Caenorhabditis elegans: one gene and its partner. The main gene of each other region encodes a partner of the protein of the gene in region 2 in a complex. Each region holds a gene or a part of one and is shown on either strand. Other genes may lie near its edges.

Region 1 (3,718 bases), on a different chromosome or scaffold from region 2:
GTAAAACTCAAAAAATTCAACTAATTCAAATTTTTACTGATCAAAATAAATTATTTTCAGGTCTCCGCTACATTCCGCGACCAAGAGAAGTGGTCTCGCATGGCCCTCTACAACATCGCCTCGACCGGAAAGTTCTCAACAGATCGCACAATCACCGAATACGCTCGTGAAATCTGGGGAATCGACCAGTTCGAGAGCTCTCTTCCAGCACCATATGAGAATGAGAAGAGCGAATAATTCTTCTATGCACTAACATTGTAATTAATTATCGCCATAACTTCCCCTCCTCTCCGTCCCATTTAGTTTATAGCATTTTTATAGAAGCCTTTCCCTCCCCCGATAATTCTTGTGAATCTTCAAGATCAAATTGATTTTGTCCTCTCTGCCCCCAGTCCAATAATCGTACTTCCCCCGAATGTGTTGCCATACTTTGAGATTGTCTATTTGCACGTCTGCCCTGCATATTTATGATAAATTGACTGAAAATATCAACTTTTTTTTTTTAATTTTGACTCGAATCTGCAAATGCTGAAATTTAATTAAAAATTATGGCTGTCTGAAGGATCTTCAAAGAAGTTTCGATACCTCTACGACCAGCTCGTTAGCAAAATACCAAACTCCTTTTCGATGAGTTTTCAAAATTCCTGGATAAATATCCTGAACTTTCTACATCAGAAGACCATTCGCAACGTAAAATTATTGATTCCAGGAAGTTGAAGTTCAGATCCACGACAATCAGACTATGATTCACAACTTTAACAAAACATTAGCAATTTCATTTTTAATAACAACAGTTTATTCAGAAAATAGAAAAACTTAACGACGACGGAAGAAGTTCTTCTTGACCTTTGGCTTTGGTGGCAGAATGATTCCATCGTACTTTTGCTGGAACCATTTGATTGTCTCCTCCTTATCGACACGGTGGGATGGTCCAATGCGTCCTGGTGCACGTCTGCGCTTGGAAACTCGAACTCCGTTGCGGTTCAGAACGACGTAGAAGTCCATTCCGTAGATTCCAATTCCTGGGTCGTACTTGATTCCGAGATCAATGTGCTCCTGGAAACAAAATAATCATCACTTTTGAACACTTCAACTTTAAGCTAACCTGAACTCCGAAACCGAAGTTTCCAGTGTCAGAGAAGTTCTCTTTGAAAAGCTCGTATTCCTTGACCTTGAGTCCCTTCTCGAGGATTTCCTCAGCCTTTGGTCCACGAACGGTGCAATGAACAGCAATCTTTTCGTTTCTGCGAATTCCGAAAGTTCTGACGGTGTATCGGGCCTTGGAGAACACTGGGGTTTGTCCGGTGAGCTGCTCGAGCACCTGAAAATATTTCGAAAATTTACGAATTACTGTAGAATATATTGGAATACCTTAGCGGCACGGGTGAGACGATCTCCAGACTCTCCAACACAAATGTTGAGACAGAGCTTTTGGATCTTGAGCTCGCGCATCACATTGCGGCCCTTCTTCTCGCGAATTTCCGTCTGTTTTTCGACGTCCGTCATGATTACCTGAAAAAAAGCATAAATACATAAAATTTGAAAACTGTGACAAGCGAGAACAAGTAGAGAGAAACGCATAGACACAAGTTCAAAAATGCCGATAAAAAATTAGCATCTTGAGATCCTAGAAAGATATTCAAATTTTAGGCCTAAAACAACGAAAATGGGAGGAGCGACGCGCACACACACACACACACACCGGCATGCGCTGAAGAGACGGCAGAGAAAACGGGCAAGCGATAGAACAGCACAAACGGGTGACAGAGACGGCGAAACAACGACAAACCACTCTCATTTTGTGAGGAAAACTCGAAAAATCAGAAAAAAAAACCTCGAATTAAAATGATTTTCGGCCCGATTTAGGATTCGAGGGTACGGTTTTGTTTTCGTGCCGAGATATCGTGGTCCCGAAAATGGTGTGTGCCTTTAATTTTCGAATTTAATTATTTAATTCAGCTTTTTTCCGATTTTCGCTCTTTTTTTTTGAAGTTTTCCTTGAATTTTCTTGATTTTTTCTATATTTTCTTGAAATTTCTTCTTTTGAATTGAATTTCTAATTTTTTTTCAACGTTTTTTGTTACAGAATGACAGTAAATGAGGGTTGGGATTCGTTCAAAACGAACAGATGGATTAATTTCGATACTATTCCATCATCCTCCTCACAAAATCGTCCTGCACCCCGAGCTCCTGAAATTGAAGTTAATAGAAAAACGCCTGATTCACCATGTAAGCTTTGGAAAATTTGCGAATAATCTGATTAATTTTGTTTTTTGCAGCAAATCGAGCAAATCGCCCACGAACGCTTTCAGACCGGGGAAACGAGATTTTGGATAATCATGAACTCGTCAGCAGTCTCTACGCTTGGAATTGGTCAGAATTGAGAGAGAATTATCCGGAAAAGGGAATCCAGAATCCGTCGATTTATTGCTATGCGATCTCGTGTGTTCAATTATTATCGCATGTTCCGGCAATTGTAAGGATCCTTCAGGATCATCAATGCCAAGATACAGGTTTGATTTATGATTTTTCTATGAAATATTCTCGCAATTATGCTAATTTTCAGCTTGTCTCTGCTGCAACTGGAAGAAAAACTTCCTTCAAAGCCATGGCCATGCTGGAACTATCAATTGGTTCCGTGAAGCATTCAAAAAAGATCGAAAATTCAATCAAGGCCGCCAGGAAGACGCTCATGATGCTCTCCTGGCGATTCTGGGGAAGCTCGATAAGATATCGGTGCAGAGCAATCCTCGTCTGAAAGGCCGCAAAGTGGCCGATGATTTGTTCGGATATTCCATAAGAAATGAAGGTTTTTGAAGCACTTTATTGATTTTTTTTTTAAAGAAAATAATTTTAATTTCCAGTTCAATGCCCCGGGTGCAAGAACAAGCACGTCTACTATGAGCACAACACCGTTATGACGGTTCGGATGCTTAGAAAGGATCCATCAGGCAAAAGCCACTCCATTAAAGAACTCATGCAGGCTCTGTTCACGGAATCCAAGATATTCGGCTATAATTGCTCAAAGTACTGGATTTTCGAACTCATTTTCCAATCAAAATTCCCCAATTTTCAGGTGCAAAAAGAAATCCGACGCGCCAGTGAAGCCCACACTTCTCCGAGCTCCACAGATCCTGCTAATGCACATTTCTCGCTTCTCGTTTGATGGTTGGGGGAAGAAAATCTCTCGGCCTGTCACCTTAAATGTTAGTTTTTAAAGAAAACGGCACAGGAAAAAAGGGCGGAGTCGCGAGCGCAATCCGCGGCGCGCGATTTCGCAACTCCGCCGCACAGTTTTATCCGAATGGTTTTTCACCTATTTTTCCGCACTTTTAAGTGTTTAAAGTCATTTAATTGAATAGAAATTAATAATTTGTGCTTAAAAATTCGGAAAAATGGGTAAAAATAGTTAAATTAAGCAACAAAAAAAAAATTCAATTTTGATTTCAGGAAACTCTCGATGTGACGAGTATGGCCACCGCCGGCGCATCCACCGTCTATAAGCTGTGCGGAGCTGTGATCCATGGTGGGACTACGCTGGACTACGGCCACTATTGGTGTGTGGCTCGATCGAGAAAACGAGAGGAGCAGTTCGTGACGTTGAATGATTCATCGGTAAGGTTCCGTGTGGCAATGTGACCTTCTAGTTCTCCTGTTTCAAACAAGTGAGAGAGAGAACATTGATTCCACAATGCGATTATGCAAAAAGATACATCAC
Region 2 (4,046 bases):
ATCCATTGTGGACCAACAGCTTGATAGATGACAAGACCCGTTTCAGCGTTATCAATGGCTTCTTTTGCAGATTGTTCGAGCATCCGTTTGAAAAACTTCACATCTGAGCCTAACGTAGTCAATGTGACAGTTTCAAATGGTGTACGAATTCCGTCTCGCTGGATAACTTGCTTTTCACGCTGCCTTTCGACTTTGATCCATCGATAATCATGGACGAAAAAATGAGTTCCATGGCCAGGTAGGAATGATATTGATAATTCAGTTTTGCCACTTTCAGCTTGATGAACAACTGTATTCGCTGATAAATTCCGTGTTTGGGTAGCACTTCGATTATTAATGAAATCGAGAAGCCATGGATACGCTCTAAAATCATTATATTTTCTGATGGATTTCTGTAAATAACTTACGCGTCTTCGTTATTAATTTGAAGATTGATCATAAAACGCCTACGAAAATACGTGTTGCTGATTTGAGCTGTCCTCCGCAGAAAGCTCATTGCTATTCCTATTCCCGCTAGACCAGCTCCCGCATTAAAATACGGGTTTTGATTCAAATTGTCATACAAATCGGAGAAAAAGGAAGAGTCTTTTGATGGGCCTGGTTTTTTATCGGAAACGACAGGATTTTCCGACATCTTAACTTTAACTGAAATTTAGACTTCAAAAATCAAGAAATCCAATGTATAATTTTATCGTACTCGAACAAATTGTAACAAAACTCGAGACTGTCAACAAATACATTCATTTGAAAACGAAATAACAAAAAGAGAGTTACTCCTGTTGCTCCTTGAGTTGGAGAAGAAGGGCCTTCTTGTCGGCAACACGTTGCTTTCTCTCGTCATATGTGAGCCTCTTGGCGGTGTGTCTCTTGGATGGCTTGGCAGCCTTCTTTGCGGCTGGAGAGGCATCAGCACGGATGGCGGAGTGGACCTTTTGATAAGTCTGAATATTTTAAACATTGGTTACAAAAATAGGAATAATTCAACTTACGGCAACAAGGTTATCGGCGTTCAATCCAGCGGCAAGGAACTTGGAGAATTGGCGCTTGTAACGATCCTCATCCTCTTCCTTCAAGTAGGTCATGTAGTCAGCAACATGCTTTCCGAGAATGCGGTCGCGGTGGGCCTCAGCATTGTACTCCTTCGACTCTTGATCGAATCCGAAGAATCTGCTCTCACTGTGGGGAACGTTGATGCCTCCATCAGCAACTCCCTTCATCACAGCGAAGATCTTGGATCCGGTGGTGGTGCGAGCAAGTCCGATGTCGAGGACAGCCTTGAATGGAGCGCGGTCTCCCTCCTCTTCTACATTGTAGTCTTCTCCAGTAAGCTAAAGTATGAATTTAAAGTAAGATCAAATAGAAATACAAAATACCTCTTCGTGGCCCTTGTAGGTGGAGTCAAGTCCGATGGTCTTCAAGTGACGACGGGCAAGAAGAAGTCCGGTGGCGTAAGCAGCGGCGTAGTTGGTAAGTCCGACCTTGAGTCCGTAACGTGGAAGTTCGTGGGAGTAAGCCGAAGCGACAACGACGTCTCCTTCGATCTTGGAGTAAGCGAGCTGAAACACTTAAATTAATATATTCTACATTTGAAATTAATGAAAACCTTACCTGAGCGACAACATCCTTGTTTGTGATGCGGACGATCAAACGGTACTTTGGGGTGTTGTACTTGTTCTTGTCCTGGACGGTAAGACGCTTTCTGGCATAGTAGTCAGTCTTTCCCTCACGTCTACGTCTCAGCTTGACCTGGTAGCGCTTGAAGTAGGCCTTGTTTTTAATGACCTTGACGAGACCCATGTTCTTCTGCAATATTATATTTTTAAAACTATCCTGTATAGAAAGAGAGAAACGAAACGATTATCGGGAAGAAACCAAGCTTATTTTCGAAGGAAACGGGAAGTTCTAGCGTTCGCCATTAGCAAAAAATGACTAACAAAAATAATATTACGAGTGAACAATGAAACTCTCAAAGATGGCGGAATTTCAAGCAAAGAAAACGATAAATATTCGAAAAAATCGAAAAAGTGTAGACAGTGACTTTAAAAATCGATAAATCAGTGTAATCTTATTTTTTGTTTAATTTTATTTTAAAAAAATCGTGAAAAGCACTGAAAAATCAAAAAAAGAATAGAAAATTTTTAGGACAACACAAATTTGCTTCAAGTCCGCAATCAGACGCGAGTTGATGGTGTGCGTACACCGCCACTGCACACATAAAGTTTGATGCGCAGGCGCGGGAATTCAAACAGCAAGGGTACGGTAGGCATCGCTTCCAAACGAGAAAACGTTGTGAATTAACTTCAAAATATAAGTTTTTAGTAGGGAAACAGACAGAAAACAAATCGTATATGAATTGAGATATTAAAAAACCAATTTTAATGCAAATCAGAAAAAAAAACACTCAAGAAGATTATCCGGCAATGAAAAATGGACGGAAAAGCAGGTTTTCCTTATCACTAATGGTTTTTTGCACCAAAAACTTAGAAACAATTTCCCATACGGTCCTAACTTTTTATTCGATTCTTCGCGCTGTCGAAAAAAGTGGATTCGCTTCCAGTACCGTCACGCATCTCTCTCAAGTTCACATTATATCTCACCACGAACGTCTTCACTATTAAAATGAATCGTTTCCTGATGGAACACTCAGACATCGTCTAAAAATGTCAAAATATTTGGTTCCCGTTTGTGCTTCTATTTCGCTGGTTGCCGTTTTTGGCGCCCTTGTCGCCATGCATTCCATTGTTGTCGATATTGACACGATGAGAGAAGAAATTGTAACTGGAGTCCATGACATGAAGGTTGGTAATTATGATAAACCTGTTAGTATTTATATTTAAAGTATTAGTTTTTTATAAATCTATGAGTTATAGTCAACTTGGACTCCGAAAGGATTCAACTGGATATGCCTATAAAAAACTGTTTTCAGGTGATGTCTGATGATGCATGGAATCGTATGATTGGATTCACCAAGCCATCTCTTGATTCTGAATCCCGCAGTGCCGCTTTCGCCAGCGTTTTCCGTAACAAGCGTTCTGCTTATCCATCTCAATGTAATTGTGATGCCAACTCTCAAGGATGCCCACCAGGACCACCAGGACCACCAGGACTTCCAGGAGGACGTGGAGATCAAGGACCATCTGGAGATAAGGGACGTGATGGAGCTTCTGGAGTATCTCTGGCTGTTACCCATCATCTTCCAGGAGGATGCATTCAATGCCCACAAGGACCACCAGGAGAAACTGGACCAGACGGAGATATTGGAGAGCCAGGATTCCCAGGAGCATCTGGATCTGCAGGACAATGTGGAGAAGATGGAGCTCCAGGAGAGGCCGGAATCACTGGAGAACAAGGACCACAAGGAGAGCCAGGAACTGAAGGATCTGAAGGACCAACTGGACAAGATGGAACTATTGGAGGACCAGGACTTCCAGGACAACCAGGAACTCCAGGATGGCCAGGATCTCAAGGAGAACCAGGAAAGAACGGAGATTCTGGAGTTGATGGAGAGCAAGGACCACAAGGACCACAGGGACCAGATGGACAACCAGGACGTGATGCTGATAATGGACAACCAGGATTGCCAGGAAAGGATGGATCTATTGGACCAGATGCTAACTATTGCCCATGCCCAGCTAGAGCCAAGAAGCACTAAATTATTTTATTTTGATTTAATTTCAAATAAAATCTTATATTTCAAATTTTGATTATGGCTACGAATGAGTTGATCCGCGAATTTTAGTGTTTCCTACAAAATTCAGAAATAGTGCTAAAAACCATTCTTATACAGCTAAAATAACCAAGTATAATAGTAAAAATTTTTCAGCATTTTTTCAGCATTTTTCAATTTTACAGGCAAATTGTTTGGGGCATAACATTTTTCAAACGTGTGTTTTATTTTTGAACATTCTAGAGGTTCGACCATGCATCAATGCTCAAAACTGCTTTAAAATCTCACATTGTTGGTAATTTTGGCATTTTACCAAAATTTTGTAAAATCCTAAAATTATTTTCTTTTGGGTTTAAATTAGCGTGTTTAATTGAGTGAA

What was found.
Region 1: rpl-5 (region 2) and rpl-11.1 share a complex: the UniProt entries of both Caenorhabditis elegans proteins name them as parts of the large ribosomal subunit.

Annotation. Positions count from the first base shown.
Region 1 is NC_003283.11:3,584,553-3,588,270, forward strand, and holds rpl-11.1 (Large ribosomal subunit protein uL5A), read right to left. Parts: upstream 1,513-3,718; 5' UTR 1,507-1,512; coding exon 1,372-1,506; intron 1,322-1,371; coding exon 1,106-1,321; intron 1,057-1,105; coding exon 817-1,056; 3' UTR 781-816; downstream 1-780. Other genes in the region: pygl-1 (Alpha-1,4 glucan phosphorylase), read left to right, coding at 61-237; T22F3.2 (Ubiquitin carboxyl-terminal hydrolase 36), read left to right, coding at 2,088-2,229, 2,280-2,513, 2,567-2,809, 2,865-3,027, 3,077-3,206, 3,451-3,615. UniProt on the Caenorhabditis elegans protein: Component of the ribosome, a large ribonucleoprotein complex responsible for the synthesis of proteins in the cell.
Region 2 is NC_003280.10:8,567,684-8,571,729, reverse strand, and holds rpl-5 (Large ribosomal subunit protein uL18), read right to left. Parts: upstream 1,804-4,046; 5' UTR 1,798-1,803; coding exon 1,609-1,797; intron 1,557-1,608; coding exon 1,374-1,556; intron 1,329-1,373; coding exon 990-1,328; intron 942-989; coding exon 771-941; 3' UTR 744-770; downstream 1-743. Other genes in the region: bcs-1 (Mitochondrial chaperone BCS1), read right to left, coding at 1-363, 408-634; col-38 (Cuticle collagen 38), read left to right, coding at 2,661-2,798, 2,927-3,652. UniProt on the Caenorhabditis elegans protein: Component of the ribosome, a large ribonucleoprotein complex responsible for the synthesis of proteins in the cell.